Linked DNA regions of Struthio camelus. The protein of the gene in region 1 interacts with the protein of each later gene in a biochemical or structural test. Links are inferred from orthologs where the notes say so. Each region holds a gene or a part of one and is shown on either strand. Other genes may lie near its edges.

Evidence for each region.
Region 2: the proteins of SNTB1 (region 1) and CYSLTR2 interact in a test that uses a peptide from one of them, tested with the Homo sapiens proteins (2 studies listed by IntAct, with this or other methods). The link is inferred for Struthio camelus from reciprocal best matches to the Homo sapiens genes SNTB1 and CYSLTR2.
Region 3: the proteins of SNTB1 (region 1) and FRMPD4 interact in a test that uses a peptide from one of them, tested with the Homo sapiens proteins (2 studies listed by IntAct, with this or other methods). The link is inferred for Struthio camelus from reciprocal best matches to the Homo sapiens genes SNTB1 and FRMPD4.
Region 4: the proteins of SNTB1 (region 1) and MAPK12 interact in a test that uses a peptide from one of them, tested with the Homo sapiens proteins (2 studies listed by IntAct, with this or other methods). The link is inferred for Struthio camelus from reciprocal best matches to the Homo sapiens genes SNTB1 and MAPK12.

The regions. Positions count from the first base shown.
Region 1 is NC_090943.1:159,111,237-159,119,035, reverse strand, and holds the start of SNTB1 (beta-1-syntrophin), read left to right. Parts: upstream 1-4,781; 5' UTR 4,782-4,866; coding exon 4,867-5,410; intron 5,411-7,799. UniProt on the Homo sapiens protein: Adapter protein that binds to and probably organizes the subcellular localization of a variety of membrane proteins. May link various receptors to the actin cytoskeleton and the dystrophin glycoprotein complex.
Region 2 is NC_090942.1:192,358,832-192,366,527, forward strand, and holds the start of CYSLTR2 (cysteinyl leukotriene receptor 2), read left to right. Parts: upstream 1-4,682; 5' UTR 4,683-4,789; intron 4,790-4,904; exon of another isoform or gene 4,905-5,089; 5' UTR 5,090-5,158; intron 5,159-7,696. UniProt on the Homo sapiens protein: Receptor for cysteinyl leukotrienes. The response is mediated via a G-protein that activates a phosphatidylinositol-calcium second messenger system.
Region 3 is NC_090942.1:141,381,791-141,388,796, reverse strand, and holds the start of FRMPD4 (FERM and PDZ domain-containing protein 4), read left to right. Parts: upstream 1-3,992; 5' UTR 3,993-4,493; coding exon 4,494-4,534; intron 4,535-7,006. UniProt on the Homo sapiens protein: Positive regulator of dendritic spine morphogenesis and density. Required for the maintenance of excitatory synaptic transmission. Binds phosphatidylinositol 4,5-bisphosphate.
Region 4 is NC_090942.1:22,879,234-22,886,784, reverse strand, and holds the start of MAPK12 (mitogen-activated protein kinase 12), read left to right. Parts: upstream 1-4,540; 5' UTR 4,541-4,734; coding exon 4,735-4,850; exon of another isoform or gene 4,851-4,927; intron 4,928-4,941; exon of another isoform or gene 4,942-5,406; coding exon of another isoform or gene 5,407-5,524; intron 5,525-5,630; coding exon 5,631-5,760; intron 5,761-7,551. UniProt on the Homo sapiens protein: Serine/threonine kinase which acts as an essential component of the MAP kinase signal transduction pathway.

The DNA.
Region 1 (7,799 bases):
TCGGGCTCTTGCTTTTGTGTTCACTTGTGCCAAAGTTGGACGTGCAGAATAGAAATATGCTCATTTATAGCCTGGCCCATAACTTGCTAGCTGTGGGAACATTTTCTCAGTTTGCCTAGCTGACATGTGACTCAGGTAGGCACACATACAAATTTCATACGCATACTTCTTTCATGTACGCACAAGTAGGTTCCTGCTTTGAAAAACTGCATCCAGAAAGTGTTTGCTGGCAGGCAACTGTGCATTCATTTTACTTTTAAATGCCATGATGTGCGTAAAAACCTGGCTAGCTTCAAACTAGGCGAAGAAAAACAATGCTTTCACAGTTTTGAAAATAAGCCATAATGCAACCTCTAGATTATGAAGGTCTTCAGGCATTCCTGACATCTTCATAACCCCAGCAGAGACAATGAGTAACGACAGCCGCACGCTGACTTGAAAGCCAGCAGGCTCCCTCAAGGCTAAGGGGTGGATTGCTCAGAGCGGTTAAGAGGGTGCAAGCCCCCACTAGCAATGCCTCGGGCAAGCGATGACCCAGGTCAAGCGAGAGGTCCACCTCCTGGTGCAATGGAGACATCCGCATCATGGCTGGAGCCGGGACTGCTGCATCCCAGCACGCAGAGGAGTGGTTTCCCTGGGGGAGTGAGGAGGGATAGTTTTGGCATGTTCCTCAGCAGGACTTACTTAAACTTGGCTCCTGCAATGTTTGGGATCACTGGAGGAACTGGACTCCTTTCCAGCTCTCTCATTACTTGTCAGGCTTCCAGCACTGGGCTTCCAATGCCGTCCTTCCTTCCTGTCCAGAACCGTCTGCCGTACTGGTTGATGTCAGGGTAACAATATGGGAACGTCATTATCCAGGCCTGATTTTGTCTGAACTCTTGTCATTCCTCCTGTTTCCAGTTAAAAAGAATTTCAGATGAACTGCTTTTGAATAATTGTTGCTAGGCTGGCAACAAAAGAAGGAGGGACAGCAGCGCTATATGGGTTTGAGTTGTCTCTCAAAAGTCCTATATGTGGCCTTGCAGTGTTCTTGCTGTCAGAAAGTCAGTTTGTTTACATAAGACGTGCATACTGACCTCTTTGCCTGAAAACAGGAGAAAACAAGAAGAGCAGACAGTGGCCTGAATTTCTGTCTCCAATACGTCCCTCCAGTCAAAGCTGTGTCTGAAGAACTTCCTCAGTGTCACAGTCACAACCATTTCTGCATTGCTTTTCCTATATTTTCTATTCTCGCATGCTCACAAACTACTAAGCCCTTCCCCTTGCTTCTGCAAACAAAGAGTTCCTCAGGTACCATCACTTTGCTTGTGACCTGGATTTACTTTGGTGATCTTTGTCACTGGAGGTAGCTTCTGTGTTTTCCAACTGCCTCTCTTCTTCCACTTTGCTGATACTTCTTCCGCCTAGCCCATTGGCCTTAAATGAACACCCAGGTGTCCGTAGACCAAAGATCGATTCAGCAGCAGCTATTAGCATTATCTGGCTTAATAATTTGTTTATATTACATGAATGAAAGGGGCCGTGATCTAGTTCAGGCTTTTGTGTGCTCCTAAAATATAAATGGTAACAGATGATTGACTTGTTTGAAAGGGTACGCTTGTTGTGGTAGACGCTTTCAAAAGGGCAGGTCATCTAGAGCAACTTTTTCTAAGCTGTGCCTGCACTGGAAGCCTTTCTAGACACTCGAGGCTGGAGCAGGGAAGGTACTGAGCCCTCTGCTCATCCCACCTAACACCTCGGCTTCCTCGCAAATTGTCACGACTACCCTGAACACTCCTATTGCAGTGGGGTTATTATGGTTTATGTCACATACATCACCAGGAGGAGAAGTTTTGGCTGAGACTAAGAGTTTGCACCCTGTCGTGCCCTAAAAACCATTGGGGACCAGCACTGGACTTTGCAGTAGCAGTTTTCTCTGTTGCTAACCTGACTACTCAATAGCTATACACCTGTGTACAAATCTGTTTTTATCTTTTGCGCCTGCTCCTGTTATATTAACCTGCATTTCAGAAGCTGCTCTTCTAGATGTGATTTACAGACCTGAGGCAGGGTCAAGGACGGTAATGTTGGCTGGGATCGAGGGGAGAAGTCTCATCACGCCTTTTCTTCCTTCCCCATACTCAGCAGCCACAAGTTGCTATTGGGGTGCATGCAAATAGGAGCTAGCACCTCCCGGGACAGAGAAGCAAAGACTTGAGGTATCAATGACTGCAGCCTGTCTCCAGGCTGCGAGACAACCCAGGAGACTGTTTGCCTTGTGACTGTACCTTAGCATCCCTTCCACTATCTTCTTTTTACTTATATTTTTAAAACTACAATATTACCTCTATTTTCTTACAGTTCCAAGGTGGGGATGAAGGGGGAGGAGGAGGCAACGAAGATTGCTATAAAGACTCTTTCATATGAGGCACTAACACCTCAGGTGCTGGCACTGGGAAACGTTATTATTTATCTCTGCTGGAGTGGGAAAGGAAAATAGCTGGAACAAGCACAGTTCTCAGTGACATGCAGTGAATTGTCTATACAACACTGTTCCACGGGAACTCCACAGGAAAACCATTCACTCTGAGCAAACACGGGCCAGCTGCATCGTATACTGATGGAAAAGTGCGAAGCATTAAGAATTTCCTTTCCATTCTGCATTACTTTTTAATGACAGGACAGAAATCATTTTTTCTTGTAAATTTTCTGGAATGACTTTAAAAAATACATAGAGACACATCTCCATTAGCAGTAGCATTGATTCTTTAGTAATACATAGGAAAGAATATGAAATAATGGGTAAGAGCTAATCCCTTGAGAAACAGAAATGCCTGATTTTGTAACTTGGCCTGGTCACTTACAGCTGCAGAGCAATTTGAGTGCTGTGATAGTCCGCACTGCAACACCTAATTTTTGCACGCCTTTCCTTTTCTCCTCATCCTTGCTCTCAAGTAACTGAAGCTGCTGGAACCCAATAAGCACATTAATTCTCTAAGCCTGGCACCTTTTGGAATGGGATTTAAAAAAACCACCCAGGATGCTGCACAGGAGCTACCTAAATTAGCTAGCAGGAAATACTGGAGAACAGGGTGTGTTACACCCTATTCCTTTCTTAGGGCTTAGACATCTTATTCAGGTTTAGTGGGACACTCTGGATTCACAGCCCTGAATACTTAATTATAGCTTTTCTACCTTGCATTAATTAACGTGAGAAATTAAGAAACCTGTCTACGGTCTGCTTTCTCCACCCACCTGCTATCCTTGAATAACCCACGGCCTGTGGGTTAGCGCTCTCCTTCCACCCCGGTTTGCATTCCTGCCAGGGGAGGAGGCACCACAGGCTGCCGATGAAGGACAGGGGCCCCCTTCCACCGGCTTTTGCTGGGAAGGGAACGCATTTTTTGTGGTCCTACAGACCCTGCTAAATCGAGGCACGATCACGAGGGGAATAGCCAGTATGCAGATCCTTTGCTCAGCCCGTTAACCTGAGAGCAGCGTACCCAGAAGTGTACCCAGAGCCTACCCAGAAGCAAAACTGCAGCGTCAGAAGTGAACGGCACTGCTCTAGAGAGGAGCAAGATGCTGCACTTCAGGCCCCGCGTGCTCTGAGGAGCACGTTAAGGGGAATTAATATTAATGGGAGCTGTACCTCCCGCTCACTGTGCACCACACGCCCAAATCCCCCAAAGCGTTGCTCCCACACACACTGAACAGTCCAGAGCTGTTGCGCGGTTCAATCCAGCTCATGAACGAAGCGGGAGCCAGGCCACCGAAAGGGCAGTTCAGGAGCTATGCAGGGACCACAGAGTGGCACCGCCACAGAGCCAGCGACGCCAGGGCTGGTCCAGGTCCTCAGTGCGGCAGTGTTGTCCTCCTTTGCGCCCGAGTTGGAGCCCTGAGGCCTGCACCGGCACCTGAACTGCTTCCCAGGAGGATGGGAAACGCGGGTCTGCGAAGAGGGAAACACAGCCTTCTCAGGCCCTAAAACCTGGTCATGAAAGGGTGAAGAAAACAGCCTCAAAACGTACAAAAGCATCCCTGACAGTCATTCACTACCTTCATCCTACACCGTTCAACGAGTGCGGGAGTGATGCTTGGGGGGGGGGGCGGTTGGGGTAGGATGAACTGTGCAGCTCCCATTGACTTTGTCATTCACTACCTTCATCCTTGAGGGATACTGCCACAGCTTTCATTCTACTTTGATACAACTGAAATTTAGAGGATATTTGTGCCACCTATGTGTTTCAATCCACCTATTTTAAAGAGAGGCCTCTCTTTTTCTCCTTCACACAGGGGAAAACAAACTCACGTTTTAGCTAAACCTCTTCTGCCAATACCCGCAGATCCTCATTGATTTATTTTCCCTCACGGCTCCATGCCCTTAACTCAGAAGGCGAGCTGCTAACTGTCTCTCAGGAGGTCCCTCCAGCGGTGTATGATGGCAGGCTCCACCCGAGGAGAGCCACCCGTTATAGAAAAGAGTAAAGAACGGGGTAATCTGCGTTTTCCCTTCTTCCCGAGTCGGGAGACGGGGACCGTGAGTACTTCGGCGATTGCTTTTATCAGTGGGCCCGGCTGGGAAGCGGCAGCCCACCCGGTTGTTCGGACGTAGCCTTGGCCACCTCGGGCGGGCTGCTCCCACGCTGACACGCACCCGCGCGGCGGCGGCGGCGGCGGCGGGGGCGGGCGGTGCGGCCCGAGGGGGCGGCCGCTCCGCCCCGCTCCGCCCCGCTCCGCCCCGCTCCGCCCCGCTCCGCCCCGCTCGGCCGCCGCCGCCGCCGCCGCGGGGAGGGAGCGCGCCCGCCGCCCCGCGGGTGAAGTCCGGTGCGCCGGGGCCGCGCCGGGGCCGCCGTGGCTCGCCGTTTCCAGCATGCTCCAAAGATGGCGGTAGCGATAGCGGCGGCAGCGGGCGGCGGCGGCAGCGGCGGGCGGGGGCAGCGCAGCGGCTGGCTGGAAGTTTTGGTGCGGGAGCGTTGGCACAAAGTGCTGGCCAACTTGGGCGGCGAGGCGCTGGTGCTGAGCGGCGAGGAGCGCCCCGACGGCGCGGCGCACAACGGCCTGGGCGGCGATGGGGCGGCGGCGGCGGCGGCGGGGAGCCGCGGGGCCGAGGGCGGCGGCGGGGCGGTGCGCACCGCCTTCACCGACCCCCCCGAGCAGGTGCCCGAGGCCGTCTCCAACAAGAAGCGGTGCGTGAAGGTGCTGAAGCAGGAGCTGGGCGGGCTGGGCATCAGCATCAAGGGGGGCAAGGAGAACAAGATGCCCATCCTCATCAGCAAGATCTTCAAGGGGCTGGCGGCCGACCAGACCCAGGCCCTCTACGTGGGGGATGCCATCCTGGCCGTCAACGGCACCGACCTGCGTGATGCCACCCACGACGAGGCGGTGCAGGCGCTCAAGCGGGCCGGCAAGGAGGTGCTGCTGGAAGGTAGGGGCCGGGCAGCCTCGCCTGCCCCCCCTCCCCGGGGGGCAGCTGCTCAAGGGGTGGTGGAGCCGAGCGGGTCGGGGGTGGGGGGGGGGGCGGAGATGCCTCCCGGCGCAGGGCCGCTTCTTCTCCTTCGGGTGTCGTTCCCGCGGCGGGAGTTTATTTTCCCTGCCCTGCGCCCCCGAGCTGCGCGGGGATCCCCGACGACGCGTGTTCAGCGTTTAGCCCCTCGTTTAGAGGAGCTCCCTGCCCCGCCGGGCACCCGGGCGTTAGCCCTCGTCCTCCAGACGGCTGGCGACGTGCCCCGTCCGTGCGGGACGGCGGAGCCCCCAGGCCGCCCCGTCCGTGCGGGACGGCGGAGCCCCCGGGCTGACCCGTCCGTGCGGGACGGCGGAGCCCCCAGGCCGCCCCGTCCGTGCGGAGCCCCCGGGCTGACCCGTCCGTGCGGGATGGCAGAGCCCCCAGGCCGCCCCGTCTGTGCGGAGCCCCCGGGCCGCCCCGTCCGTGCGGGATGGCGGAGCCCCCAGGCTGCCCCGTCCGTGCAGAGCCCCCGGGCCGCCCCGTCCGTGCAGAGCCCCCGGGCTGCCCCGTCCGTGCGGGATGGCAGAGCCCCCAGGCTGCCACGTCCGTGCAGAGCCCCCGGGCCGCCCCGTCCGTGCGGGATGGCAGAGCCCCCAGGCCGCCCCGTCCGTGCAGAGCCCCCGGGCCGCCCCGTCCGTGCAGGACGGTGGAGCCCCCAGGCTGCCCTGTCTGTGCGGGGCTGCGGCTCCCCGCCGGGTCGGCTCCCGTGCTGAGGGCCCGCGGTGCGAGCGTGCCGCATCCCTGCAAAGCGGAGGGTTTCGTTTCACTCTCCTGCAGGGTGGCAGGGAGAGTTTTGTAAGAAGCAGCTTCAGGAAGCGAGCCCAGAGCACAGTTGTGGTACGCGTAGGAGGGAGGGTGTCCCCCAAGCACAGATGCCGGGGACCGGAGTGGTCACAACGAGCACAAGGTTCCCCAGGACACCGAGTTCATGGAGAGAGACGCGTTCACATGCTTTTAATCGTTGTCTTTTCACAAGGATTAATTTAGTTGCTAGACCTCCGAGAATGTACAGCTTCAAAAATGCCCTTGGCGCGTGTTTGAGAAAGCGATTACATCTTTGCCCAAAGTTCATTGCCCCAGAAGTGGCTGGCACTGGGACACGCTGCTGTGCCTTGCCCTGTGCCAGCTGCCTTCCCTCTGGGCCGCAGGCCCTGCTGGCTGATCATTCCCGCAGCCCTTTGGGTACCACATGGTTTTGTCTCTTGGGGCACCGAGGATCTTTTGCTCTTATCCTGAGGAGCAAAGGGAAGCGTCACTGCAGGTAATGGAAACACACTTGAGGATTAGCTGTGAACAACCAGCTCCAGCATGAAGTTAGGCACAAAGCTCAAGAACAGGTTCTGTGCACTAAAGCAAGGGCAACAGAGACAGTTTTGCTTGGGTCTACAGCCGTGTTTATTGAGAAACTATTTGATGTTGTCCACATTACTGTGAAAACTGCAAAGGAGGTGTTACCCCAGAGGGTTTTCACGTGCTGTGGACCATTGCCTCCTTGTTCTCTTGGGTATAACCCAGCTGCGTTTCTTCTTCAGCAAAACCACTTACGGAGATACCTGCAACGTCTCAATGTAAAGTTCTCTCTAAGCTCTGAATTGGGACTATTTCATCTACATTTTTTCCTTGATTTGTTTACACAACATAAGGACTTCCTAGGGTGCAGGCCAGACAGAAGCTGACCTTTGCTGTGATCTAGTGAGTAATGTATATACTGCTTACAAAACTCTCTCCTGTGAAGCGCATGCAGTAACACCACCTGAACACACTGCTGCTGTACAAGTCTTTTAAAAGGCTCGGTTTTGTTCCCTGTAGGAGCGAAGATCAGGTAGTTTCAGCACGGGCTCTTAGCACCCTCCTTATCTCCGCTGCTTTTACCATGCAGCTGTTTTCTTGGATTTCTTTGCTCTGTGGAGGTGTAGGCTGATGTGCTTCAGTGATTGTTTCTGCAGTACAGTTGTCGGAATTGTTAATTTGTAGATCCAGAGCAATTTCAGTAGTCATCCTTCTGTGTAGTTAAAATATTCTGACACTGTACTGTCTATTTTTCCTGGCTTTCTCCTGCTATTTTAGCAGTGTAACCAAAATCAGAATTGTCCAAGGTGTTGCCCCAGGAGATGCTATTCAGTTCAGCAGGGAATCTCTCTACATGAATGGCTTGTGTAAACAGGCGGTTTAAAACAATTGTCTGAGATTCAATTTCCCACTTTGAAGCTCTTTCTTCAGTAATGGTGTAAAATGGTCTTTTTATTACAAAAGGAAGGAAAAGCAAAAGTTTTTTTTTTCCTTTAAAATATAGGAGGGAGAGCCTTGTATT
Region 2 (7,696 bases), on another chromosome or scaffold:
TTTATCCAGCTGTTGGGTTACGGCTATTATAGAAGAGTCAGCAAAAAGGGAAGAGAGGAAGCTTGCTTTGCTTCTGGTTTCTAGATGTGTATAAAGAGAGAGACCAGCAGAATAGCACGGGACATGCAGAACATTTAAAGTGGGGTAAACACAGATCAAAAGACGGGTTTGGGGGTAGGTAACTTACAGTAAAATGCCATACACATGCCAACATGTATGTGTGATAAGTCTACAGGTGGTCATATCTTAAGAGAGGGGTAACTAAATCACTGCCAAATCCTTCACATTCTGCACTTGCATACTCCCATCAATGTGCGACTCTGTCATGTCTAACACATAAAATGGAAAACAGAAATAACAGAGGTTGCAATTGCAGTTTGTGCAATTAGTTGAAATGCATAACACAAGCAAAAGGTCCCTGTGACACCCACATGGTGCTGGATAGAGAGATGGATAGAGAAGTAGAGAGGTTTCGAAAGACAGGCTATGCAGAGAAGACAGAATATTAGTAAATATTCCTGGCACACTGACAACCTTGCATGTGTTAAAACTGAAATGCTTTTGGCTAGTTCCTAAAAAAAAAAAACACCACTGTTCTTTTTTTTCCAGTCACAGTTTCTGGGGCTGTTTTCTTTAGGTTTTAATCCAAAAAAAGGCTCTATTCTTTCCAATAACTTCAATGGGCTTTAGATGAAGGCCTTAGAAAGTGTTTGGCTTTCTGTCCTGCTCGAGTTCACTCTTTTCACAGTTGAGGACTGGATCGATTAAACTCTAGGAAGTGCATTAATGCTGCCAGCTGCCATTGGCTCCACGGCTTTTGAAGACAATCAATTTTTCCCAAGGCACACACCACCTTTAGAGGGGCAGTGAAAGAACTTCTCCAGTTTTAGTACTTTATACTTTTAAAAAGGCAGTTTATTTTACATGTAGACAATACTAGATGTCTTTTTCCATTCCAGATATATGCTAACATTCTTCTGCCTTCATTAGTATATTAATGAGGAACAGCAAACTGTTAAGAAAAGACTACAAGCAATTAAAAAAGATGTCATTATTGATGTTGCAAAAGGAACAGCTTGAAAACCTTCTGTGCTTTTCCTTTCGAATAATGCCTGTTAAGATTACCCCTCCTTCTTTACCCCCTTCCTCGTGCAGTAGTCACCTTGATCTTCCCAGCTATCCAGCCTTATGGCTGACAGCAAATGAGCTACTAACATTTGATGCTATTTTTTTTTCTCGACTGCACAGAAAATGAATGTAAGCTTTGTAATTTTAGTCTCTGGAAATAGATATGTGTTACTAGGCTAAGCTGCTGTGTTGAAGACGTGAGGCATTAAAATCTTCAGTGAAGGTAATCCTTTCTGTTTGTTTGATATATCCCTTTCTGCCAAAAAATCTATTGGCATGTGAAGGTGAAACTCCGACACTAGACGTTCACGCCTGCAGACAGCAAAACATTGCCTGAGCAACTGGAAAAATATATGGACTCCTTCTTCTGCACTGTGTGAGTCACTGGATGCCTCACAGGAGATCCCTTGGTGCTGGGGATTGCCAGGTCTCCCGTGCACGGCCCCGAGGTTTGCTCCGGGCGGCAGCGGGGCTGCCCGACTGAACGAGCTGGCGTGCGACTGCCTGCTACGCCCTGCGAGCAGCGCGATGTGCTTTTACAGGTCTGTTTGGATGGGCCTGTGCGTCAGACACCCAGCCTTGCCCAGGCGGGTTTCAGATCCCCGTGGCCAAAAAAGGCAGCTCCCTGCTTCCTGTGTTGCAGTGTGAAGCGGAGGACAGCCTGCCCCGCGTGACTGCAACCACGGATGGATGCACCAGGCAACGTGCTTGTCCTCAAACAGCAGCTGCCTTCACTTTAGGGGGCAAAACCTGGCGTTTCTCTCTAGCCAGTGAGAAGAGTGAATTGGCAAATCATCCCATGGGCCCCAGGCACTGCTTTGGCAATGAGATACCTGCTCTGCTGCTGCCCAGAGCAGCAACAGCAGCTCTATGGGGGCCAGAAAGTCACTGCACGGAGACGTTTGAAACAGCCTTATGGCAGGAGGAAGCCCAGCAGCAGGTCTGATAGGATGTGGCCTGCAGAGGTGCCTGGGAGGGGAAAACCACTTTGGGGTAAAAAATGCCTAAACTGCCCCTTTGGAGAATTAATTCCCCAATCACCTCAACTTCAGTACAGCTACAGGGGGAGGCCTGGCCCTACAGGGCACGTAGCAGCGTGATGTGCAGCACCACGATGCCTCAAAGTTTGGGATGTCCATGCTGCCGAGCTAGGTGCCCCCCACAGTGAGCGCAGGAGATGGGCTCCTCCGCTGGCGCTCCCATCGGGGAGCGCTCAGGCCACAAGGATGCTTGAACTTGCTGATAGAAATAATTCAGATTTGTGCCTTTTCTTGGCCTGGAATGCTTCGCTCAGGTCCAAAGTTCAGCTGCTTCACGCGACGGGGATTCAAAGCCTGCAACGGTGGCTTTGCTTGCGGGCTGGCGGGAGCTGAGCCCTCGTCCTTGGGCAGCGCCCCGGCACTGTGCCGGGGCAGAGGTGGGCAAGCAAAGGAGGGCAAAGGAAAGGATGAGTCACCCCCTCTTGCTTTTCTCTCTTGCAGCTGGGCTGCCATGGAGCCAGAAGTGCAAAAGGGAACAGAAACAGAGGCAGGAGTGAGCACAACTGCAGCTTAGCCTAGTGGTTTGCACTCTCAGCTCCACTGCTTCTGCTTCTTGGACCATCTCTGCATTTAATGGGACTTAAAATGCAGAGAAAATCTAGGCTGGTAACTGTTGAATGTGTTTTGTGCACAGTGTCTTGCGATGAGAATCCTTTATTCTTCATGATATTGAGATGGCTTCTGCAGAATTACTGAAGTTTGTATGAACAAAAAACGTGCTAAACTCCTCTCGGAAGCTGAGTCATTCAACGACAGTTTCTAAAAAATCCCAGACAGTCACTCCAGCTCCAGCTTATCAGGTGCAGGGTGAGTTGGCATCTGACCCCATTTATTGAAACAATCTGGAAAGGAAATACAGCATTACTTTGGTAAGGAGAAGAAATAGTACTCTCCAGAAAGCAGGCCTTTTAAGAAGGTGGATGTAACAAATTATCCGGGCAAGCGTGTCACGTGATGAAAGAGGCATTCTCAAAACGCATTCAGGAAAACAAAATGTGATCAATGCCTAACTCTTCCACATGTTTTGGTGTCTGTGAACAACCTGCTTATCAGTCCCAGTGCAATTATCGCAGCGTGCCATGTGATGCAGATGTCATCAGGCTGCTATTGCAATGCCAACATTAGTCATCACAGCATCTCTGCCTGTTGCAGATAAAAGGCAGTCTGAATTACTGGGGCATCTTCCAAATGGCTCCAGCGGGCACAGTTCTCCTCTGGCCGGGGCCGTGCTGCACGTCACAGCTTCTTCCTAAAGGTCTCTGCCCCAAAATCTGCCTGCCAAGCAGCTTGTGGGGTCATTTCCTATCCTGCTGCAGTTCAAATGAGCTACGTTAGCGAAGACCCCCTATTTCAGGTATCTAAGGTACCCTGCTTCACTGACCAAAGCGTGGCCGGGGACATGCACTTGTGCGGCTCTGCCAGCAACGCTTGACAGATGGGGAGACAGCTGTGAGAGTAACCATACCAGCCAGCATCACCACAACTGGGAAGGGACACAAACCTACGGCCTTACATGCCGCATGAGTTTGCAATGTCTGTGCTAGGCACCCGTGGAGCGGTCTCAAGAGGACCCCTAATTCACTGTCACTCTGCACCTCGCAAATTCATTTAAAAGGGATTGCTAGCATTTTAAACGGACTTTGCACTGTCAAGGCAAACGTGGGCAAATGTTCACAGCTTGCTCCAGAGACTGAAGGTCCTCGCCTCACCCTTAGCTAAGCTGGAGCAGTCCTGCACATGATTCCCTATGTCCTTTTTCAGCTTCATGAAGTAAAAAATGCTGAGCTGTGTTTGCAAGCCCCCCTCTATGCAGAGATTTGTGAAGTCTGGTGACACAGGTCTTTGCAGACACTGCACATCACCCACTCAGCCCCCCTGCCATGTGGAGCACGCCCAGAGGGCAATTTTTACCTGGTCTAAAGGTCCTTTATACAGCTAGAGAGAAGGGATCTTGCTATAAATGAGAATCAGACACAGGTGGCAATGTAGGGTAGGCTGCAAGCGGGATTACCAGGAGAGCTTGGGAGCATAGACGACTACAAATGTAGGTGCTCAGAAGGTTTTAGGAGGAGACTCTCCATTCACCGAGCAATGGTAACGACCCTGCGTGGATGCCTAGCCTGCGGCAGCTAGGAAATAAAACATAGCAGCCGAGAGACACTTGAATACATCTGATCTGCCGGTGTGCGCTGACACCACAGAGGAGGAATAACCAACCTGTTACACCTACAGCGCGCACAGATACCTACTGCTCAATTGCAGTGGGCTAGGAGCACCCATTTAACGCCGATCCACTGATGAGTGGTAAAATGTTAAGGGGCGGTAAGGCATTTGCTGCAGACACGTGTCCATGACCTAACAGTACTGTGTATTCAGGTCCTATGAAAATTCAAGGAAAACTAGTCCTTCGGTTCTGTAAATTCACCCTGGAAGTGTGGGCTGAGTCACATTACCCATCAGCTCCTGGCTGCCTGCTTATGATGATGTTTTTGATGTGCTTTCTGCAGTAAAAAGCCTGACTAATAACCGCTGGCATGTGTCGTCTTAATAATTCCAAGAACTACGTCCCTAATGATCCGTGTTAAGCTTTATAGCATGATTTCCAAAAACATCCATCAACTGTGAGTATCGGAAGCAAATAAACAGAAGTGAGAGCCCAAATATAGAAATCCAAAAGGCGTCCAAGATCACTGCTTAGCTGCAGGGCCTCTTTCATTGGATGAAAAGTATAAAACATTGCCATGTGATTACTAGTACCACTCCTTGAGCTGAAAACATTTCTCACTTAAGAAAATATAAGATCTGTTAATAAGGATTTACTTCCCCTTCCTACTGCTCATCACCCCTCTGTGGCTTCTGCATAAATAGCACTCGTGTTTTTTTGATTCAAGTTTCTGTGTTTTTCCTTTGCACTAACAAAGCTGCAAGTTGTGAACAACAAAAAGCAGAAGAAGGAAATACCGAAGACACCAGAAGGCAGAAAAGCTGAGGTAGGACAAGATTTGTCTGCTTTTTCTTTTTCTGATGTAGATAAAAAATGGTTGTAATAATTAAAATGCAACTTACTTGCGTTTCTTGTTACTTGCTGTAAGCTTTGTTTTTGCTAGCAACTATAATCACTGACTAACGTTCTTTATGCTAAAGCCAGGCTTGAAAATTTTATTTGGAAGAAAAAAGTGTGACTTGATGTAAGTAGGAGTTTTACCAGACAGAAGATAGCAATCAAGTGGTGGATCTGAGTGAGTCCTGTTTTTTTAGCTAGACCAATATGACAAACTTTGTTCATGGCAAACTTTTAAAACAAAAAAGTGTTAAAGGTCAAGATCTCGATTTTTTTTTTATTATCATCCATGTAGAAAAGTTAATAAAACGCCATACGTTTCAGTGAATTGAATTTAGTGTTAATTTCAGACATCACATTTTGTTATATTTATTTTTGGTAATGCTGCTCCTGAAACATAAAATGTGTGCTAGAAAGAAAGCAAATGGGAACTTTAAAAAAAATTAGAGCTTCTCTTTTTTTCTCATAGTGCGGCAACAAATGCAAGTAATCTGACATGAATGCTCCCATGTAGCAAAGATATCATAACAACCTTCCTCTTCAGATAACAAACACGGGACTCTGGTGTCTGAAGTATTCCTCAGACAAAGGCATATTGTGATAGACGTGCAGAGCATCTCTTTTTCTTGCTACCCAGAAGTTTATCTTTATCTTTATCACTAAAGATATTGTCTTATCTGTATCTTATCTGTATAAAGATATTATCGTTATCTGTATCTTTATCACTAAACACAGAACCATATTTTGCATGAATAGATTTCTCTATTTGACTTTGCATATGTGCAACACCGTATTTAAATTAGGTTCTTCGGTAGTTCCTCGCTTCCTGGTGAGCGCGACGTTTCAGAAGGGCAGATATCAGAACCTTCACTTGAAAGTTTCCAGCAGTCTGGACATGAAGAATTTCATCCTCACACCTTTAGCAGCAGCACCCCTCCAACAAACCTCCCCAAAGGGAGGGATTCCTCCTGTTCCAGCCTGGCGCAGAAATCTTTCCCGCTGTCGGCTGAGTTACGGGCTGACTTGGCTGTTCTTGATTTAGCCCTCTACCAGAACTGGGAAAGCCCAGGGCTACTGACTGTTACGGTTTTCCCAGTAATAATTTTTTGACCTACAGAGTCATACAGGGTTTTTAGGATCACTGTTGGTACTGGTTTCACTTCACAAGCAGAAAGTAGGAGCAACACAGAGAAATCAATTGAGTTGATTTGTTGAGTTGAGTTGACCAACTTTTGTTGAGTTGATCAACTGAGTTGGTGGTGTTGCATAAATTGGGAGCAGAGTACAACTGTAAGAAATGAGCTGGTGGCTCAGACCAACCACCGTCTAGCCCAATATTCCGTCTCTGATGGTGGTGACAGGCAATGCTGTTTAGAGAGACCATGAGAGCTGGATCACCTTCTGCAGTGCATTGCCATTGTATTCCCCCAGCACCCCTAACTGTTGTTTAGGGGTGCTAGAGGGTATATCCCTGCCTAGTCCTTTATTTCCCATTTATTGTCCTTGAATTTGTCCAACCCTGTTTTGGACCAGCTGATACCAGCTGTACTCACTGGTTGAAAACAGGCTCCCATCAAGTCTGTTGAGTGTCCCTAGTGCTGCAGGACCCATGAGCAACAGTTTGCATTCACACCATCTGACACTTCGACACGTCTGTAAGCCGTGATCGCATTCTTCTTCAGCCTTGTCCTGCCACACTGAAGGGTCCCAGCCTCTTAGCCCCTGCTCTGTCTCTTGATCATTTCACTCACCTCTCTTTGACCCTCCTCTAACTCCGTTATGTCCCTCTTGGGTGCAGAGACTAGAACTTCACACGGTGTTCACGGCAGGGATGCATGGAGGTTTTATACAAAGATGCACCCTGCTTTTTTCTGCATAGCCTTCTTGATGATGCCCCTCATTTTGTTGGCTTTTTCGGATGTTGCTCCAGTCAAGGCAGAAATGACTTCAGTAGCCTGTCAACAATGACTCCATCACCAATGCCAAACACATGCTCTTTCCTGAATGAAACAGCTAGTTTCAAGTTCTGTATCACATAGGCATGGTTTAGATTATTTTTCCGAAGCTGCATCACCTTACATGAAACTACACTAAAGATCATCTGCCACCTTTTCAGCATAGTGTTGAAAAGCTCAGGGTCATCTGCCAGCCTGGAGATTTCTCTGCACACACCCTTCTCCAGGTCATTGACAAAGATACTGAACAAACCTGGACCAAGCACAAAGCCCTAGAGACCACGCTGCTGATTCATTAAGCCCTACACTTTTTCTTCCTACGCTTTAACCAGCTTTCAGTCCATAAAAGAAACTGTCTTCTAGATCTCTGGCAACTTAGTTCATTAGAAAACTTTTGGTGCAGAACTTTATCAAAGGCTTTTAGAAAATTCAACTATATAAATACATATATATAGATATATACATATATGTATTTATATATATATTTGTATGCATATATATATACACACATA
Region 3 (7,006 bases), on another chromosome or scaffold:
ATGGCTTTTTTTATCACACTCCTTTAAACATTTATGCCATTTGGATATGAATAATATCATCAAGCACTATGAAAAAAATCATGGAACCTTCAGTTGTTATCTCAGGAAATAAATTATCATTATAACCTGATGAGTTAAAAGCCATCCTAAAGGTGAAATACAGTGCTTTTAAGTATCTCTTTGAGATTCCAAATCACTAAAAAAAAAAAAGACTAGTCTTAAAAAAATTGTAGAGGTAGATTTTTAACTGAGAGGAAAATTTTTGAGACCTCCAAAAGTATTAAAATGAATAAGTGGACTTCAGTCATTTCCAGAGGTTTCATTTTATGTCTTTGGTGTGAGATTTTACCTGACGTCCTTTAAATTATCTAGGATCAAATCGTACTGAAGCAAATGTAGTAAAATGAACATTACTGGTGAAGCTGCAGGGCTAAAAAAGTTTGTGCAGTATGGTAGCCAGGAGAGTCCAACTCATATTTTTCTTTGAGCATTCAGTACCTCCGAATGAAGAAAGAAAAATCCCAAAAATACAGCAACACACAAACAAACGGCTTTTGATCTCATTCATAAAGATATTTACATCCCATCTTCACAGCATTTTCCCTAGGACCCAAGGAATTTAGATGTCTGAAAAAATTAATAGTTTTTAGAGTGATTTAATTAGTTTTATGTTATTAATAGTATGCCAAAACATTCCTACATACATTACGTCTGTCACTTTCTTTAGAACAAAGAGCATTATAAAATAAGGCAGACTCCCTTTTCTATAAATGAAACTATAGGTGAAACTGCCATACTACATGAAATTATGGCTTTTACTGGCCCATGATCTACAGTAGGATATCTATGATTACAGAAAACATTAGTATTAAGTGTCCTAATTGAATTACTTCAGCCAAAAGTAATAAAAAGGTCATAGTATACCATAACAAAGCATCCTCAAAAATAGAGACTTAGAATTCTACTCTAAAAAAAAAAACATTCAGTCAGGAATTGATGTCAAATTCCTGGTTTAAGATTAGGAACTTCATGTTCAATTATTGTTTGTTACTGAGATACTAAATACACGTTGTTCTGCTGTCTTGAGCTGTCTGTTCTCATTCAGAGTTTACATGTACCTTTGTCACCCACAAATGGGTTTTATCTGACCTAAATTTAGGCATCTAGAAGACAGGCCTCTAGTCAAAGGTAGGAACCTAGGGCCTCCTCTCCACTGGAGTTGACAGAGAAAATAGAGCATCTCCAAAGGGCAATTCATGTCACTTTTTTTAGAATGAGATGTGTTGGAGTGATAGGTGCCTGTCCGCCACAGAGACAGGGAATGACTAACTGAGGCTGGAACCCCGATTTTTGGTAGTTAGTGAGAAGAATCCCACACCAGTGACAAAAAAAGTACATATGTTTGCAAGAGTTCAGTCATGGCATTGTCTAGTTGACATATCCTGCAAAGGAAGGCATAATACCAAAATATGATCATTTACAGATGATAGCTCCAAAACCAGTTCAAACTACATGTATTAATTGATGTTTACTCATGAAACAGACAGAACAACGTCCTCCACCTTGCTTCTCCGGGTTGGCAGGTTCTATCATTTTCCTACAGCTGAGATAGCTTTATACATGGTTGCTGTGACACCAGAGCCCAAAGAACCATGAACTGAAGTGTTGTGATTGATATTCCAATCTCCACCCCCACGCGTGTTTCCCACCTAGCACAGATCCAGAAAGCTTCCAGTATTTAGCACAGTTGGAACAAGTATACTTGTTTGGGTTCTCTGCTCATGTCTGCACATCTGGGAATAAGACTCCTGTGATTTTGCTACTAATGGATCTCCAGGGTATCGGCTGTCCCAACAGTATCTCCACAGCCATTCTGGACAATTTGTACGGTTGCAACGATTTCCACTCAGGAAAACAAAAATATCAAAGTAATTATAATCATAGCAATAGTTCATCTATCTCTTTGGAATGCCAAGGCAAGAGAGAAAAATAATTTCAGTTCAGCTTCGAATTGTAATGACTTTCTGTTAAGCCCAGTCATTTTGGGTACTGCATCCTCTGTTTATCACACTGATACATTTATAAACAGCAGTCTTTTCATCCCTAGTCTTTGTTTTGCTAGGCTAAGCTCTTTCAGCCTCTTCTCGTAAGGCACACTTCGCTACCTTTAACATTTTTAGTATTTTCCTGCACCTGCTTTCATTTTTCTCAAACACACTTCCTGAATGAGCTGAGTACAGCATTTCTGGTCAGATCTTATGCTGTCCGCTTTTCTGTCTCTACTGGAAATACCTCAGTCGATGCATCCTAGGATCATATTTGCCGTTTCACCAGAAGACCTTGAAAGTATAGAAATGCTACAGAACCCTTAAAACATCTTCACTTCTCTGGCTCTCACTCCTACGCTTTGAGGCACCATTGTGTGTTAGGCCTTGGAATGTAAAGTACTTAAGATAGGGGACCTTGTTTATACAGAGCATATGTGCCTAATTTTATATATGGTATATCATTTCATCAGCATCAGTTTGCTTTGTAGGATCTTGGCCTATCTCCTTAGTCTATAAATAAATAATGACAGTTTTATAAATAACGCAGTTTCTAACCAGCTGAAACTGTGTTATTTTTGTAACTTTTGTCAATCAATAGAGCAATGTGAATGACAGGCAAAGGTTCTGCCGTTTTAAAAAATCTGGTATAACAATAAATAAATATAGTTGCACGTAAGACCCACATAAATATTTTGATGTACTAGCATAAAGTACTTCATACAGTATTTCAGAATATGCACAAAGCATTTACATCTATGGTAGGTCTGCAAGTGTTTTTAGCTGGCTGTTTAATGTTCTCCAAGTGTAAATAGATAATCAATCATTCTTTGTTATTGTTTTAAAGAATAGTTTGAAACTTGATGCACAGTGAGTGTTCGTACTGCCTGTTCTTTTTGTTCCCTTATCAATAAAAGCTTTAATATTAAAAAAATTGCATTGTTTTCTTCTAGCTGCTAGAGTCTACATATTGGCCTCTATTGTCATTTCTGAAATTTTTGGTTGCTGAGACAGTTTAGGTGCAAGCCTCCAAAGGAGACAGAAACTGTGGGAAGTAAAGAGCGTATGAATCTGTTTAGCAAATGAAGACACATATAAACACACTTTATTGTGAAGAGGAGAATATGCATTCCCATGCTGAGAATTATTGTACCGTAGTGTAGAGCTTCGAAGCACATCTATATGTGAAAACGAATTTGAATTTCTCCAAGCTCCTGTCCTGCTCACTCACAGGAAGCTTACGGACAGCAGTTAAACTCCAGTCCCTATTTTGAAGCTTTATGCAGGGCAAAAGCACAAGAAAACATTGTCTCCTTGTGTTCTTGTGAACGTCAGGACGTCAGCTACACCATTTTCCCACAGAACATGGGATGAGGAACGCTTAGCTATGTTGTCATGACTCAGCCTTGCAGCGCTCCTGTCACAACTAGGAGGACTCCTTTCCTCAAAATCTCTTACATGGCATGGATAAAGAAGCCACGGGATGGTGACAACCTCCTCTGGCGACAGCAGGGCAGTGAATTTGCCACCGTGTTGCCGGTCAGTGGTCCATGGTTGAGGAACATCTCAAGGAGGCCACCAGGGCTTCCCTCTGCCCCAGGGGGAAGTATGGCAGGACAGCGAGGCACGATCGCTGGGGAGAGATCCTCAGTGGTGGAAGAGGGCTGTCCGGTTCCCCCAACTTTTGCTTTCGGGATCTGGGCAGCAGGCTTCTAGCAAAGGACCAGGGTGCTTCTCCCCGGCTGGGGAGGGGCCTTCTCCCCCTCGCCGGGCCTGCCTGCCTGCCCGCCCGCCCCAACAGAGAGGAGCCTCCAGCCCGGCCTAGCTCCCCTCGGCGGCCGGCCAGGCCCCTCGGCCCGCTGCCGGCGGCCGCAGCGCCGCCTCGGGCGGGAGCCAACGGGCGGCGGGAGCCAACGGGCAGCCGCCGCCTGCGCGCTGCGCTCCCCCACAGGAGGGGGAGACATTGCCGGCGAGAGGAGAAACTCCCCCTCTCCACCTTGCTGATTGCCCCCCCTCCTCCCTCTCCCCCGCACCCCGCCGCTCTTCTCCGCCTTCCTCCAGCGGGGATACGGCAAAGAGGCAGCGGGCGGCGGAGCGCGGCCGCCTCCCTCTCAGCCTGCCGGTGCGCGGAGCGGCGGGCGCCCGGGCTGGCGGCCACACCGCCCTCCTCATGCCTTCGGTTACCCCGGGGAGGGGGCAGGGGAGGCAGCGCGAGAAGCGGGGGAGGGCTGCGCGCAGATGAATGCTGCTCCTGCGAGATGCTGCACGCCCAGCTCCCAGCCGGAGGCGGGTAGCAGCCTCCGCCGCCGGCTCCTGCCTTTGCAAGGGCTGTTGCTGCCACTGGACGCAACCTTCTCCCCGATATGGAGCTGCTGCTGCTGCTGCTGCCGCCACCGCTGCTGCTGGAGTGAGTGAGTGAGTGACGGGCAGAGCTGGCCGGCTGCATGGATGGATGTATTTAGCTTTGTGAAGATTGGGAAGCTCTCCGGGTAGGTGCTCGGCGCTGCCCGTGCCCGTGCCCGGCGGGGGCGGGAGGTTGCGGGGGGCTGCCGACCCCGGGGCGCTCAACTTCCCTGGCGCCGGGGCGGAGGTCTCGGGGTCGGGCTGCGGGTTTTCAGCGCTTGCCGCCCCGGCACCTGCGGAGGGTCACGCCGGTGGCTCTGTGTCGTTGGGTTGTTCCCCTCTGCCCCCATCTTAAAAGACAATAAACGTGGTCCCGCGGCTGGTGCTTCTTGCCGCGGCGCAGCTGGGGTTACCGGGAGCGCTGGCCGTGGTGAAACGGTCAGAGCAGAACTGTTTGGGAAACGCAGAAGCGGCGGCGAGAGCCGGGACCGGGCTGGGGCGGGTTGGGGAAGCAGGCGCTGCCTCCCTGAGGCCGCCGGCGGGTGAGGTGCGGGGGGCGGCGGTTAGCGGCGGTTAACGGTCGCCGAGGGCGCGCGCTGCCGGGGGTGGGGGCGGCGGCCAACTTGTGAGGGCGCGGGGCACCGCCTCGCGGCGGCGGCGGCTCCCTGCCCCGCGCCTCGGCCCTCCCGCCCCCCGACTCCGCGCCCGGCGATATTTTTAGAGAAGTGGTGAAATCATCGTCAGCTCTTTAAGCGCTGCCCCTCTGCCTCTTCGCATGATAGGTGCTGGGGAGCAAGCGGGTTTGGCGTCTGCCATCCCTCGCTGGCTAGGCATGCACTTTTTTGTTGCTGGAACGGGTGTGAGGCGTGGACTTTTTGTTGCTGAAATGGGTGTTTAATGAGGATGTCTTTCCCTTTTCGAATAAGTCTTCCTTTTAATAGCCTCCGAGTGCTGGTCTCTGTCTGCAGACTGTTGCGTTCGCAGCTAGTTGCCAGGCCTAAGGCTACGTAGATGGACAAAGAAGCGCAGTAGCCTCTATTAAAAATGTTTTCAGTGTAGGTAAACACAATTGGAGGTAACACGTCTCAATAACGTGGGAAATCACACTTTATCTCAAAGATACTGTATAAAAGTGCTCGAGTTGCAAGATTTTTCTTTTTTTCTTTTTCTGTGTGTGTGGATAATCCTCCTAAAGGATTTAGCTTTGATCACAGTAACTAGGAGTGTTCTGAATTCTTACGATTCAGTGCTTAGGACACCATAGTTACCATATCCATTTCTGTTTATGAAGCATAGACTGAAATTGGATGTTGTACAAAAAGGAGAAAGGCCTTGTTAAAGAAATACAAAAGGCAGCTTGCTTCAGTGACGTTCAGATAGGGAACTTGTCAAAATGACAGATGGTCTTTAAAAACAAATATTGCATGGCTGGAAGTTGTAGAATGCCACAGGTGCAAGCCTAGCCTTTATCCCCCAAATTTCCCACCATTGCACCTGGCTGTGATTACAGCTCCACTTGTGGCAATGCCTGCGCAGAACAGCTGCTGTCATTCAAGTACATCATTGTCTCATCCTGCTCAGAGCAATTTTACATGATGTGACGGCTAAAACACTAGTGGCCTGCTCAGCTTTCTTTGATTCGTGTTTCCAGCTGATGCCACTAGAGCTGCAACAGCAGTAACTACAGTGGAAACTTCGAGGAGAGGGAAAATATGCTAGCATAGATAAGGAGCAGGTCATGTAGTATGATTTTTTTTTTCCAGATATATTGAATTGCTGGGCTGCTTCTATTTATTTAAGAGCAGAGTTTTAAAGCCCCCCATCCCCTCAAACCTTCATGTTTCATATTTGTCACGCCTGAGTTAAAATCAAAGGGAGAGAAAGGGATGTGCTGTATGGAAATATTATTAAGTCAGGAACATGGGAGTTTTTAGATCTATTTTAAGATTCAATCTTAAATATTTTTTTGGTATGTACACTATCTGTTGACTTTCCACAGCCTCAAAGATGCAGATGTTACCATTCCTGAGATTTGTATTTAGATAAAGGCAAATCATAGTATTTCACTGGAAAACCTGAAAATTCTTTCTGCAATTAAATCACAAGTTTCAAGGCTTGTATCAAGCTTCATTTGATTCAAGGATATGAAGTTTGTGTATTCAGGGACTGAGTTCATCTTCTAGACTGCAGTAAATCATTTCTGTACCGAGCTACTCTTTTTGTTTCTGAATTTCTGGTTGTTAAATGACCATAATAGTTTACATGGGACTTTACTTTGCTGTTTCCTAGGTAACAGCTAGGTATCTGTTCCAATTTTATGAGCACTTCGTGGAGCAGCCACGTTCCAGTATAAACCCCATTTTTAATCCCTCTATAAGTCTGGGTTGAAAAACTAGTTTGCCTGGAAATGCTGATTCTTCCCTTGCTGTTAGAAGGAAGATTTTTTTTTTTAAAGAAAGATAGGATAAATGGATCTTGACTGAGAGTGTGATCTTTCAGGCAGATTACATGCATAAAGTTGTTGAGCGCTTGGCTGCTACTGAATATTTTTAAGCCTTTCAGTCATTTTTTTTTTTTAATTTGCTGTGAGTTCGGAGCTTCTCATTTTAGTCTGCAAG
Region 4 (7,551 bases), on another chromosome or scaffold:
GAGGTCACAGAAAGAGACAAACACAGAATAGTTGCAAAATAGTTGGCAACAGCTCCACAGAGGAAGGGCGTGGACACAAAAGAGTATTTTCAAAAGAAAACTAAGGTTTTTATGTAAGCTTTACTTCTCCTTGTAGTAAGTAAAATGGATTTACTTCCTTCATGGCAACGTGTATAAGTAGACAAGAACAGACTACGAACATACTTTTTGAAGGTGGAGATAGAAAGCTGTTTCAAGAAATAATATTCTAGCCGTTGACAATCCAGCAAGATTTTATGTTTACTGGCATTATATACAAATTTAAAGTACATGTTACAGAACTAAAGTATTCGTATGTGAATTAGTAAATCAAGAATCAAATTAGCTTGTTCCAGTCACGTGAAAAATACCTCATAGAGACAGATGCAGACAGTAAGGTGGGAAGATGCTTGATTTTTCCAAGGGGCCTTGTATTATCATCTTTTTTCCACTCATGAAATTCATGTTGCCAGTGTCTGGAGTGGAAGATCAAGGTCACTAGCTGGTCTCCCAGTTCCAAAGGATGCACCCCCTTCACTTAGGGTCTGGCCATCAGCCCATGGTTTATCTCCTGACAAACTAACCTGGGCCATTTTAACTCTGTTGATAAATAGTTCATTCTGGGTTGAATTACCATCAAACTCTCTCACCAGAGTGTAAAACTACTTTTCCTAGGCAGAAATCCTCAGGAAAACGTAGCTAGCTTATTCGCTGTTCTCTTACAGTTCTTCCTCCAGCACAAACGACTCATGTCCCAACTGGAGTGTAAATTGAGTTCTCAGTCCTTGGAGGGACTAGAAGGGGTACTGTACACATCCTATCTGCCCCATATACTTTGCAGCTGATAGCAACCTTCCAACATATTGAAAGGTGGCACTTTAAAAAACAAAACAAAACAAATGTTTCTTCATGTTAACAACCTTGCCAACCTTCCCTTTACAGGATAGGCATTAAGAAAGTGTGATCTTCCCATCATTAATTATCTTCCAGACATGCTGCCTTAAAGAGTTCTTATTCTCTTACTCTCTTTTGTTCTGCAGACTTTAGAATAAATATAGGTCGAAAACAGAAACATCGGGTAGCGCTCCTTTTTAAATCCCTGTCAAGCACACTTTGCCTGGGCTAAGGTATGACTGTAGTATCATACTAGTCTCATTGTAGCAGACTGTCTTTGGGAAAATGCTATGTCATATAGCCACCCAGGAACAGTAGGATACTGAGGCTCTGGCATTTTGTGACTCCAGTATAAGATCTGGCAGCTGTGGATGTCTCTAAGTATCTCCTCTCACTCCTTTCACAGACACTTGCAAGGTTTTTTTCTTAGATAAAGTCTCCCATCATATGACAGTGCTAATTTCCTATTTTTTTTCGTAAGTTTATCAGTTCTTCTATGTGGACTGCTTTGTGTGACCTGATGAGGAAGGGTGATCTTGTATTTGACCAATGCTGTTACCCCGTCCCACCTACAGCAAAGTATACGTAATATCTTACCTGAAGGAAAAACATGGGAAAACCAGCACTGGCCAATTTTGTCTTTGAATTTAAAATATCTTAAGAAAGTTGCTCTATCTTCTCTACCTTCTTGCTCTGTCTTCTGATCTTCTGCACAAGTGAGATGTTAGCTTGGTGCTGGCTTAGTACTTTCATCCTACAGTATAAAAATCATCCTCTTCCTCCCCTGAAAAGGAACAAGTTAATAACAAAGCATCATTTTGCCAGAACTAGACTGAGGAAAAAGGGGCTAGGGATCAATAGCAGAATTGATCCTCATTGTATTAGAAACACATATATTTAACATTAAAAATAACAGACCGGCTCAAAACTGAGTGGAAGACAACACTGCTCTAGCCTTCTTACCCATACTGCATTTCACTCTAGCCATCATGTGAATGGCAAACACTGCATAAAAGCGGAATCAGAAATTAAAAAAAAAGTCTTCTGAGACTATGTTTTTAAAAACAAATCTGTATCATTAATCTAACACTTGACACAAGGTTTGTATTACCTGCCAAATGTCAGAAGATTGGTTTCCAGTCTCACTAAGACAAGGAGTCAAACAGGTCATCTATCTGCAGATAGCAGCACTGGAAAACACCTATACTATGGAAGGATGTTAGACTGTGCCAGCCTGGCCTCTAGTAAATTTGCAGCCCTGCTCTGCAGACAATTTTAGAAAGCATGTTTTCCTGCTGTATCTGACATGTAAATAACAACAGGAGGAGGGCAGGGCTGCTTTTCCAAATCTGATATTTACATACAAAAAGGTCTGGACCCACGGCAACTACCAAAAAGGCAACAGGAGCAACGAAACTTGGCCAGATTGCCCCTTTCTAGCTAAGCCACAAACTGAACTCCCGTGACAGCCAGTCTGAGTTATCTAACAGCAGCAACATTGCTCAGGGGTGAAGTCAGACGAAACAAAGGCTTTACCAGACCCCAAAGAACAAGTATTTTAATTATATTCATACAGAGAAAATGTAAAATATCTTTTAAAGTAGTTCCTTGCATGTAGTTACGCATGCTGGACCAGGCCTATTGACCGTAGAAATATTGTGAAGGTTGCTATTCTCCATAAACCAGCACTGCAGTTGTTCTAAGCTGCTCCTTGAACAGTTTCATACCACACCAGACACGCATAGGACCACTTGCTCTGAGCAACCAAGTCAAGCGTGTACTTGTTTCTATTTAAATATATTAAATTCTATTGAAGCTTTGGGTTGATCCTGAGATAAGGATAAACTGTAAGTCCACAGCTGTACACCTCTGTGCAAAGGTAATTTGGAAGTTCTCCCTCATACGCCCTGCTCTCATCAAACCAAATGACAGCCCCTCAGGGCTGCGGTGAGGGGAATCAAGGGTGTAAGGGGGGGAGAAAGCCATCAGTCACTTGCCCCTCCCTTCTGCTACTGTCAAATGCTTATGCACGCAGCGAGTTTTAGCGAGAAGTGGCCGTGTATATATAGCCTTCCGTCTAGACATGAAAGATTGCCCCGTCTTCCCTGCTTCTTTTTTCAGTGCTGCTGCTACACGTGCCCTTTGTCTTTGCAGCTTCTACCACCTACGACAACCATCATATATTTCTCTGCTCCACTGACCCATTCTCTTCCATTTTACCGGCAAAATAGCATTAATTGCAGTAAAATCATTCTGTGGCCTCTAGGAATATAGCTGAATGCAGTTTTTTGCCTTTGTCTGTAGTTCTCATTTCTTCCTCTTTCCATTTGTAGTATTTACTTTTTATTAGGTAATAGTTTCATGTAAAAGTCAGTTACATTCGGCACATAACCCCTAATGCAAAACAAGCCCGGATGGGAGTGCAAAACCATAAGGTGTATATTCACAAAGAGAAGGCTGGGATATATTTGCTTCCAGCTTCACAGCAAAGACTCTTAGTTTACTCCTCATTTACACCAGTAAATCAATACGTAACACAGCACAAGTTTCCCAAGCCTCTGCTGGGAAGCGGTGGCCTCCTCACCACACTCACCATCCATTTTCTGCGGCCAGCACCTACTCCTCACTCCCGGTTCCCAGTTCCACCTGCCTTCGCCAAGCCACTACCCTGCTGCAGAAGTAACACAGCCACAGATTTGATGGAGAAAACACTAGAATTGAGAAGAGACCTTGAGCTTTGCAACTACAGAACAATAACATATATATTGCTCCATCAAATCCACAAACACAAGGCAGTAGGCAACTGCGCCAAGAGAAGCAGATGGATCTTAAGCACGTCTTTAGACAAGCAAGAGCCTCAGCACCTGTTTCTATGCACATACACACCCTGCTGCAACCGGGCTGCTTTTGGGCACGCACACTGGATCCGGCTGAACGGTTCGCTCGCTTTCCCAGCCTTAGCGACACCTTAGCATCCCTGCGTCCTGCTGCACCTTTGGGGCAGTTATGTTACCCCTGGTCTCTGAGTGAAGGGTCGCAGATGCTCAGCTGCCTGCTCAGGAACGGCGGAGCAGGGACAGGTAGAGGCACCTGCCGCTAGCCACACCGCTGCGGGACAGGGAGGAAAAAACAAATGTGAGAGGGAAACGGGGCTGAGCTATTGAAAGAGCTGCAAGCAAGGAAGGCACAAAGGCAAGCTACGACGGAGATGGCGTGAGAGAAAAAAAACAGTAAGGAATTGTGCTTTAGCCTCCTTCCCTATTTGTTTAGCACCTGCTCAGGCGAACGACCCGTTTACCCTGCGCACACGTTGGGCTGTCCGGGGGTGGACCGCACTCTCCTCGTCCAGGAGCGCTTGGGGCACAGCAGGGCCGCTGCCGGGCCGGGCCGGGCCGGACCCCGCCGCAGGGCGACGGCCGGGCTGGGCGCTGCTCCGCTCGGCGGGCACCAGGCCTGCGCCGCCCCTTCCCCGCAGAGCCTCCCGGCGTGGCAAACGCCTCGCCCCAGCCTGGTTTTTAGAGGCGCGGGGCTGGCAAGCGGCGGGCGCGCTGTTCGCCAGGCGGGGCCCTGGCCGGAGGTCGGTCACGGCGGGGGTGGGGGACGTGGCCGGCCCCCGCCGGGCCTCCCCGCCGCCGAGGGTGCGCGGGAAGAGGGGCAGGGGGAGGGGGCAGGCAGCCGCCGGCGCCGCTCGCCCAGAGCGGCGCTGGCTGAGGGAGCCCGTCCAAGCCCAGCCCCTCGCCTCAGCCCGGCGCGGCGGCGCTCGCCTCGCCCTCTGCCTCCAGGGCTCTTTGTGGGAAGGTGCCGGCAGGGGGCTGCAGCACCATGTCCTCCCCCAAGAAAGGCTTTTACCGGCAGGAGATCACCAAAACCCTCTGGGAAGTACGGGACCGCTACCGCGACCTGCAGCCTGTGGGATCCGGTGCCTACGGAGCCGTCTGGTGAGCGGGGCAGAGCAGCAGCCGGCGGCGGGGGGCCACGCGCCCCCTCTGCCCAGGCCCCTTCCCCCGCCCCCGGCGCGGCTGGTCCTGCCCCGAGGCGGGAGGGGGCTGCGCCGCCGGTGGGGAGCCGCGATGGCGTCGCCGTGGGGCTCCTGGCGGCTCGGCCGCCGCGCAGCCGGGGGTCGCGCCGGCCGCTTGCGCTTTGTTCCCCGACAACTTTTTTTTCCCGGGTGTTTTACCGCAGCCGGCCTGGCGGCGCCCGGTGCGGGCTTTTGGCGGGGGAGGTGTGGATATTTTTGTTGTGGTGGTGGTGGTTTTTAACGTGCCTGCCCGCCCTACACGTGTTTTCCTCGCTGGAAGGGGCAGGGGCCGGGGCGCGGCCCCAGGGCTCCCCCCGGCAGCAGCCACCGCCGCCAGGCGCCGGCTGCCCCCCGGGTTTGTCCCCTCGGCGAGGGGCTACCCGCTTCTGGGTTTTGTTTGTTTGTTTTTCCGCCTGTCTTTAAAGCTTTTGAAAAGCGGCAACTTTTCATCGCGGGGTCTGGCAGCGTTTAAACTAATGAGACCCTGGAGGCTGTGCTGGCCAGGGGCTTTCGGGGAGGTGGCGTCCCCCTTTTCCCTCGACGCGGTAAATGGCGGCGCAGGGAGGCCAAGCGACCGGCAGGTAGAAAGTCGAGGTCTGGGCGAGGCGGCGCCAAACATAGGCACCTGCTTATCGGCAGTGGGGTTTGCCACAGCCCCTTCGGCCCTCGCCCGCGAAACGCTCTTCCTGTTCCCTTAAAGCTCAGCTGTTGACGGAAGGAATGGTACCAAAGTGGCCATCAAGAAACTGTACCGCCCGTTTCAGTCTGAACTCTTCGCCAAACGAGCCTACCGAGAGCTGCGCCTCCTGAAACACATGAAGCACGAAAATGTGAGTTCAGTCATTAGCAGATCCCCTCAAGGTTGCTGCGGCTTGCAGGCACCAAAAAGAAGTGTGATCTGCTGCTGTCCCCTGATCTGCTGTCCCCTGCCTCCATAATACACCAGCCCTGGCAAGGCAGCTGAGTACCTGCATAGGATTCAGGAGTCTTTCAGCAAGACCTGTGTGTCTGTCTTTTGTCCGTCTGCCTTTTAACCTGCAAATACCAGTTCAAGCAAACTGGAGCGTCCTGTGGGACGCAGTTTCATTGCAGTCCATGTGCGTGAGGTTGGGTGGAGAAGGTTAGGACCGCGGTGGGATTTGTGCTCAAAGCTAGAGGGAGAGAGATTAAGAGACCCGAAATCTGAATCTCGATCACCACACGCATGAGATGTAGGAGAGTGGGAGAGTGTGGATCTGTACTGCTAGCATCTCTTTGCTTGAAGTTGGATGTGGCATGCACGCCTGTCTCTCGAGGAAGAGGTCTGGTCTTGCCTTTCATGAAGCGTTTGAAAGTTTCAGGTTTGTACTAATGGGAAATGGGAAGAGTTTACGAATGAGTAAAAAAAATTGCTTTAGAGGCATAATGTGTCTTCCTGGATGCTGAGATAAGGAGGAGAGATCTGTGTGAAAACAGTTTTGTGGGATGAAAGCATGAATGGAAACCAGGTCAGAAAGATCCCGGGGTGGGACTGGAAGATCACAGTTAGTGGCTTTAAATGCTATTTCTGAAGAGTACATGTGAAGAAAGAGTTTCAGGTGACTTTTAAAAAGATAGATACAAGAATCTATTTTAAAATGCTAATGATGTGGGAGATTATAGTTTTCCATGGAGGCTATTTGAGCAGAGCTAAGAGCTGGAAGGTGAGAATGAGAGAAGCCAGTAGTAATAGCAATAGCCAGTCGTTGCCATTGCACGTTGCAGTGTTAGCATTCTGAGTACCAGCAACAACTAGGTTCATTTCGAGGAATAATCTCTACGATATCCCGGCTGTCTGGAGAAAACAGACCTTACTGTAGGCTTATGAACCCGTGTGCCTGTTTACCTTTTAGTCTGACTCTTTTAACATATTTGATCGTTTTACTTGAGGAATCCTTAGAAATAACTGCTTTTTACCATTGTTGTATATATGTTAAAGAGTTAATGTTTAACTTGTGTGTCATACAGAGTCTTTCATACTCTCAGCATTTACTGTACTCAACATTTGGGAGCAGATCAGCTCATGCAGTTGCCAAACTCCTAACTGTCTTCCGAATTTTGAGATTATTTTTCTTCCATTTCTCAGAATAATTTGTTCTTCAGGTGGCTAGCGTTTTCCAGTACTGGCTCTTTTTGTGCTGCATATGCCCTTCAGGATAATACTCTGGAACCCTTCCATAGACTTGTTTGGCAATCAAAAGAGTCTAGAAGAAAACACACACTGAGGAATATGAGTGCAATCTGTACAAGTTACAGATGAATACGTAGGAAGGAAGGGAAGAACTTAGAGTCTTAGAAAACATTTTGGACCACAGAAATAAAAATTCGGTCTAGGTACTGAGGAAAAGTTTCATCATGACTTTACTCGTTAGAGAGCAACGAGTGAGTAAATGGTCATGCAAGGAATTCATAGGCATTGTGGAGACAGAAACCAACTGCTCCACCCGTCCAAGATGAGGCTGAAATGGCAGTACAACCCTTCTAGAGAATTTCCATCCTCCATTCCAGTCTCATACCATTCTACCAGGCATTTTGACCACTGTGAATGGGGAATAGCAGCAAAGCCCTTTAGGATTTCTAGCCCCTTGCTGATCCCGTGCTAC